Sus scrofa: one gene and its partner. The protein of the gene in region 1 binds, or shares a complex with, the protein of each later gene. Links are inferred from orthologs where the notes say so. Each region holds a gene or a part of one and is shown on either strand. Other genes may lie near its edges. The genes, in order: GTF2F1 and POLR2C.

Evidence for each region.
Region 2: GTF2F1 (region 1) and POLR2C share a complex: the UniProt entries of both Homo sapiens proteins name them as parts of the TBP-based Pol II pre-initiation complex. The link is inferred for Sus scrofa from reciprocal best matches to the Homo sapiens genes GTF2F1 and POLR2C.

Annotation. Positions count from the first base shown.
Region 1 is NC_010444.4:72,686,327-72,690,637, forward strand, and holds the start of GTF2F1 (general transcription factor IIF subunit 1), read left to right. Parts: upstream 1-1,286; 5' UTR 1,287-1,681; coding exon 1,682-1,693; intron 1,694-1,777; coding exon 1,778-1,824; intron 1,825-2,570; coding exon 2,571-2,643; intron 2,644-4,311. UniProt on the Homo sapiens protein: TFIIF is a general transcription initiation factor that binds to RNA polymerase II and helps to recruit it to the initiation complex in collaboration with TFIIB. It promotes transcription elongation.
Region 2 is NC_010448.4:19,396,453-19,399,291, forward strand, and holds part of POLR2C (DNA-directed RNA polymerase II subunit RPB3), read left to right. Parts: intron 1-1,783; coding exon 1,784-1,912; intron 1,913-2,374; coding exon 2,375-2,426; intron 2,427-2,558; coding exon 2,559-2,727; intron 2,728-2,839. UniProt on the Homo sapiens protein: Core component of RNA polymerase II (Pol II), a DNA-dependent RNA polymerase which synthesizes mRNA precursors and many functional non-coding RNAs using the four ribonucleoside triphosphates as substrates.

The DNA of each region.
Region 1 (4,311 bases):
GTACAGCAACGTCAGATCTGAGCTGAGCCTGAGACCTACACCACAGCTCACAGCAACGCCAGATCCTTAACCCACTGAGCAAGGCCAGGGATCAAACCCACAACCTCATGGTTCCTAGTCGGATTTGTTTCTGGTGCACCACGATGGAACTCCCCGTCTCTATATTTCTAAGTAGTTGGTGTGGTTTCTGACGTATGGTATTGGGTAAGGAATAAATGAAAGTCCATAACTATCAGACCCACCCATGGAGTGCTGTAGTTTATGGTGCAGTTTTGGTGTCTTTGCTTAGCCAACTCCTAGTTTAAAACGTCCCTCTTGGAGTTCCCGTCGTGGCTCAGTGGTTAACGAATCCAACTAGGAACCATGAGGTTTCGGGTTCGATCCCTGGCCTTGCTCAGTGGGTTAAGGATCCGGTGTTTCCATGAGCTGTGGTGTAGGTCACAGATGCGGCTCGGATCCCGCGTTGCTGTGGCTGTGGCGTAGGCCGGCGGCTACAGCTCCGATTGGACCCCTAGCCTAGGAACCTCCATATGCCGCGGGTGCGGCCCTGGAAAAAGACAAAAAGAAAAAAAAAGTCCCTCCTCCCTGAGCCACCTGCTCTTTCCCCGTAGCAGCCCTGTTCTTCCTGGCTTGTAGGTATCATTTTCCGAGACTGTATAATCCACCACAACCTCCAAGAGGACAGGAGATGGTTTGTCATATTCACCATGAACTGCCCAGAACCCAGCCAGCAGGTGCTGAAAGTGGATGGAAGAATGGCTGGTCCCGAGCATGCGAGCATGCGCAGTTGTGTTACTACATGGTGGGGGAGGGGTGTGTGCACACCTGGAATTGGACAGGGAGGGTACTCGTACCTCTCGTACCTCTCTCCTGCCCTCCATAGCCTCCTTCCCTTCCATCCAGTTAGCCAGCCACCTCCGCGATGTTACCCTTCTGGGGCCTCAGGGCCCTGGCCATCTGTGCAGCTTGAACTTGCACAGACCCACTCCGCCAGCGGCCGGTGGGGTGATCCCCACCCAGGCCTTGACCCCTCCTGGCTCGGTTCCAACGTCACAAGGGCTCCTGGCCCGATCACTTGACGAGATTATGGTTTCCCTCCTGGGGCTTAGGGAAAAAATGAACACCAAAGAGACTCAGGTGGAGCCGCAGTGTTTCCGTGCGAAGGAGGTCTCAGGCACCATGGTAACGCGGCCTCCTCGGACTCACTTCCGGAGTGGAGTAGCGCATGCGCAAGGCTTCTGGGCGGCCAGGAAAAAGGCTTGTTTCTCCACCCCTTCCCAAGATGCCCCGCGGTCCTTAATTGGGACGTCACGAGCGGGGTGTTACTATACAGCGTGATTGAGTTATCCGCACTATATATTGCAGTCAGCTGGTGCAGGAGCAGTAGTAGGTGTTGCTTTTAAGTCAGATTCGGAGCCTGTGACGCGGCCCACGGGAGAGTTTCGCTTCCGGTTTAAGTGGCTGCGCAGGCGCAGACGTGGCACGAGAGGCCTCAGAGGCTGACCGCTGTTCCAGCGCCACCCCCGGATAGTTTTTCCTAGGATTGGCGGCTCGGGGTTCTCGATCAGGGACCAGAGAGCCGAAACCTCGAGGGCGGCTTCCGCGGGACCTAGAGACCCTCATCCCGGGGGAGTCGAAAAGGACGAGGATCCGACCAGATTTCTACCATTGCGCATCGCCCATGGCGGCCCTCGTAAGTGTAAGGCGAGGGGTTTCCGGGGTCCTGGCTGCAGCCTTTATACTCCCTCACTCACTGCACTGCTTTCTCTCCCCTCAGGGCCCCTGCAGCCAGAATGTCACTGAATATGTTGTCCGAGTTCCCAAGTAAGTCCCAGACCCCAGTTCCCCGTCTCCTCCCAAAAGGGACTAAGCCTTCAGGCACCTCCTGATTCTCCTTCCAGACCGGTAGCAATCTAAGGGCAGGGCTGAGGTTGAGCCGAGGTGTCTGGGGCATCACTGTTTTTTGAAGAGAGTGAATGAATGAACGAATGGGTGCATTATTAATACACAGTATGGGGAGTTCCGTGTGGCTTAGAGGTAAGAAACCCAGCTAATATCCATGAGGATGCGGGTTCAATCCCTGGCCTCACTCAGTGGTTTAAGGATCCAGTGTTGCTGTGGCTGTGGTGTAGGCTGGCAGCTGCAGCTCCGTTTAGACCCTAGGAACTTCTGTATGTGGCCGGTTTGGCCCTTTTAAAAAGCAAAAAACAAAACAAAAACAGTGCCGGTATGATGCAGCCCCCCTACCTAGCATTCCCTCTGCCACTGCCCACTGTGACTGCTGGGTGGATTCTTGTTGATCCTGGAAATCCTAGTTCCACTATATTCCCTATCTGCCACCTCACCCCCCTTGCCTAGGGCTGAGTTCCCAGTTAGCGCCAGATCTTGGGTTCCTAGAAATCTTTGTCCGTTTTTCTGAATGGAGTTGAGAATATGGATCCCACTTTGCCAACAGACTGGGAACCTCTGAGGTCTTTTATGGGTCCCCAGCATTGCCTGACACAAAGGGCTGAGCCAGGGAGGGTTTACTGAATGAATGACTGAGCACTGCCTCTTCATGTCCATTCCAGAAATACCACCAAAAAATATAATATCATGGCCTTCAATGCAGCTGATAAAGTCAATCTTGCTACTTGGAATCAGGTATGTTGAGGTTCGGAGGGGGTGAGAGAACCCAATCATGGACTTTGTGGTTGTTATAGTTGTTTAGTTGTGATAGTAACCAAGGCTTAGCTTCCTCAGCTCTTCACCATGGAGATAAGTGATGACTAAGGCCGAGGCCAAGTTGCTGAGCATGCCTGAGGGGTAAATGCAGGAGGTTTTCTCCTGAAAGGAGCTGTGCCTACCAGTGGGCATCTTGGGCCTGGATTTATCTGGGCAAGGGAGGGGGCTGCCTCCTACAGATGCTCTAAGAGCCCCCATTGTCAGAGGCTCTAGCAAGGGCTTTGGGAGCTGTCTTAGCTCATTCAGGAGGCTATAGCAGAATACCAGAGACTGTGGTTTCTCAACAGTAGAAATTTATTTCTCACAGTTCTGGAGGCTAGAAGTCTAAGATAAGGGACCAATAGGTTTGGTGTCTGGTGGGGCTCTGCTTCCTGGTTCACACCTGGCTCATTTCACTGTGTCCTTGCTTGGTAGAAGGGGGAAGGAGCTCTCTGGGATCCTTTTTTTTTTTTTTTTTTTTTCCGTGGCATGCAGAATTTGTCAGGCCAAAGATCAAACCCGAGCACCAGCAGTGACCTGTGCCACTGCAGTGACAACGCTAGATCCTTAACCTGCTGCACCACAAGGGAACTCCTCTGGGGTCCTTTTTTTTTTTTTTTTTTTTTTGGTCTTTTTAGGGCCGCAACCACGGCATATGGAGGTTCCCAGGCTAAGGGTCAAATCAGAACTGTAGCCACCAGCCTACACCAGAACCACAGCCACAGCAATGCCAGAACCGAGCCATGTCTGCAACCTACACCACAGCTCATGGCAACGCCGGATCCTTAACCCATTGAGTGAAGCCAGGGATCAAACCCGCAACATCATGGTTCCTAGTCAGATTTGTTTCCACTGCACCATGACAGGAACTCCTGGGATCCTTTTTAAGGGCGCTCATCCCATTCATAAGGCTCCAACCTCATAACCTAATCACTGGCAGGACCCGTCCTAAATATCATCACACTGGAAATTAGGTTTTAACATATGCATCTTGGGGGGACGCAGACATCCATCCATAACAGCAGCCATTAAAGGTTAAACAGAGAAATTGTAAAGTGAACTGGCCACTGAAGGGTCAAAGGCAGGTGAAAGGAGAACAGGGGAGAACAGGGGGAGGTGAGCCTTGATGGGGCTTGGAGCAAACAGCTTATGAGAAGTGGCTGGATTCTGACTTTTCTTTTTAAAAATTCTTTTTCTTACTTTCTTTTTTGCTGCCTCATGGCACATGGAGTTCCCTGGTCAGGGATCAAATCCCAGCCGCAGTGTGCAGCTGTGGCAACGCTGGATCCTTAACTCACTGTTCTGGTGAACCTGTGTACTGGTGCTGCAGAAACAGCATGGATCCCACAGCTCCATAGCAGAAACTCCTCTTTCCTTTTTTTTTTTTTTTTTTTTTTTTTAAACTTTACATTACGAAATGACTTCAAACTTTCAAAAAGCTGCAAAAAAGAGACATAGTACAGGGCTTAACCTAGATCCCTTTACCCACAGTCACTGAGCACCTTTTGGCCAAGCCAGAAATCAGCTCTGAATGGCCACTTCTCAACTTGGAAGGGAGGAAGGGGTGTCGTTGGCAGGGGCAGAGGGGGGCGAGGGCAGGCTCCCTCA
Region 2 (2,839 bases), on another chromosome or scaffold:
TCAAACACACAGCAGAGTGTGAAGCAAATGTAACATAGTCATGCTCCCTCCAAAGCACTTGTCACATTTTTCACACCATTTTGTTGCTTCACATCTCCAGATTTTTGTTTTTAAGAAGTAGAGCATCACATGTACTGGTGGGGACATTTGTACAACCAATTGAAGAGCAATTTGTCAACATCTTATATAAAGATATGAATCCCCTTATGACCTACAAATTCCATTGAATTTCATTTTTTGTAGTATTACATTTACTGAACAAAGATGGTATGGGGTTTTTTTGTTTGTTTCTGAAAAGCTATAGAAAGGTTGAAGATAGACTACTTATTCTCTTTTCACCTATAATTTCCAGTTGTCAATATTTTGCTACTTGCTTTATTCTTCATATGTTATTTTTTCTCTTCTTCTGAGAGAATGTTGCAGATATCGTGACACTTTTCCCCTAATTACATCAACATTCATGTCCTAAAAATAAGGTATTTTCCTGTGTAGGCACACTGTCATCATGCCTAAGAAATTTAGCGTTGGAAGTTCCCTTGCGACAGCCTGACCAGTATCCATGAGGACACAGTTCCATCCCTGGCCTCGCTCAGTGGGTTAAGGATCTGGTGTTGCTGTGAGCTGTGGTGTAGGTCACTGACATGGATTCTGAGCTGCTGTGGCTGTGGTGTAAACCAGCAGCTGTAGCTCCACTTCAACCCCTAGCCTGGAAACTTCCGCCACGGGTGCGGCCCTAAAAAGCCAAAAAAAAGAGAAATCTAGCATTGATTTGTACTATCAATATACAGTCCAAATTCAGATTTTCCAAGTTATCCTCAAAATGTCCTAACTGGTTTTTGTCTGTGGGTCTGTGATCCAATCAAGATTGCATTTAGTTATTATACCTTTTTATTCTCTTGATCTCTCAGACTCCTTTTTTTATTATACTTTTTTTTTTTTTGAGATTGAATACTTTTAATTTCATATTCCTAAGAATGATGCAGTCTTGAGGGCCTAGGCTGTCTTCCTGCCTCAGCAGTGTGTGATTGCAAATTGACCAGGTGTGGGCCCTAGTTCTTCCTCATTGTCTTGAAAACAACAAAAAGTAGGTTGGATTTTCTTCACTGGTAGGAAGTGGGAAGGTTTGCTTGATTACATTCTAGTAACTCTTTTTGCCTGAGGTTAAATGGTAGCAGCTCGTCTCTAACACGGGAATGTTTAAGAATCAGTGTAAAGAATGGCACACTTGAAAGTTAATGAAGCTGAGTGATGGTTACATAGTGACAGTCTCTTAAGTCTTCTCTGCTTCTGTGAATGTATGAAAATTTCCATAAATTCATACATTACCTGTGACTTTTTTTTTAGAGAAGGTCTGTAGTCTGGAACTTAAAAGATAGATTTTTTCTTGTTCCCTGGATTATTTCCTTTTAAATGGTGATGGCTTTCCTAAGCCAGTCACTTAGCTTATGGGACACAGAGCTGTGCAGGATGAAAGCTGCCTCCTCTCTCAGTGCCTTGGTTCTAGAAGAAGAGTGCTCTGAGGGTAGGGTGAGATGTTAGTGCATCTCCTGGTGGTGGCCTGGTGTTGCGCGGGGGGTAGACACAGCTGTCTCTGAGCTGGGACGAGCCTGCCCTTGAGCAGCCCGAGAATGGCGTGTGGGATGGACACAGCCCACGGGAGCCTGGAGGCTGTGCTCTGCCCTCTCCCAGGGAAGGACCTTAAGGGACGGGGTGTTAGAAGCAGGGAGCCAGGCCGGGATTCGCCATCTCTCTAGACTCACTCCTGCCTCTCTTCCTGCCTCAGGACTGCACTTGTGAGGAGTTCTGCCCCGAGTGCTCGGTGGAGTTCACCCTCGATGTGCGGTGCAACGAAGACCAGACGCGTCACGTCACATCCCGAGACCTCATCTCCAACAGCCCCCGGGTCATTCCGGTCAGCGACATCCTCCCTGCCCAGGGCCTTTGCTCTTCTCTTGGCTCCGAGTGGACCAGACTCGGGTGGCTCCTTATAAAACACTGGCTTTCCCTGTGTGCCCTCTGCCTTAACCTCAGCCTGGTGCCTGGAAGTGCTGATTCTGGAGTCTTGCCAGGGTGGGCAGAGCCATTGTTGGTGCTCTGGGCCCCCTGTCTCCCAAGGACCCTTTGAAGGCTGTGGTACTGTTTTGTTTTTTGTCTTTTCTCTTTTTAGGGCTGCACCCGAGGCATGTTGAGGTTTCCAGTCCAGGGGTCGAATCGGAGCTGTAGCCGCTGGCCTACACCATAGCCACAGCAACGCGGGATCCGAGCTGCATCTGTGACCTGCACCGCAGCTCATGGCAGTGCCAAATCCCCAACCAGCAGAGGTGCATGGGGACATTGAGCAGCAGCTAATAATGCCTGTTTGGGTTCCCTGCAGGTGACATCCCGGAACCGAGATAATGACCCCAGTGACTACGTGGAGCAGGACGGTAAGGGGCCCAAGAGAGGCAGAGACCAGACCCAGCCTCTCGTGCTGCCTGGTCCTGCAGTGGCGGCGCGGGTCAAACTGCGGAGAACCAGGCCTCTGCTGGCCCTCGCCCACCTCTCCCCTCTCCCCGCAGACATCCTCATCGTCAAGCTGAGGAAGGGCCAGGAGCTGAGACTTCGCGCCTACGCCAAAAAGGGCTTTGGCAAGGAACACGCCAAGTGGAACCCCACTGCAGGGGTGGCTTTTGAATATGATCCCGACAATGCCCTGAGGCACACGGTGTACCCCAAGCCGGAGGAATGGTATGTTCCTGGTGGGAGTGAGGAGAGGCAGGCAGGTCAGGGTTGGGCGGGTGTGGAAGTGGCTCCTGGCGACTGAGGTGGGGCACCTCACCATGAGACCTGGGCACCCCGA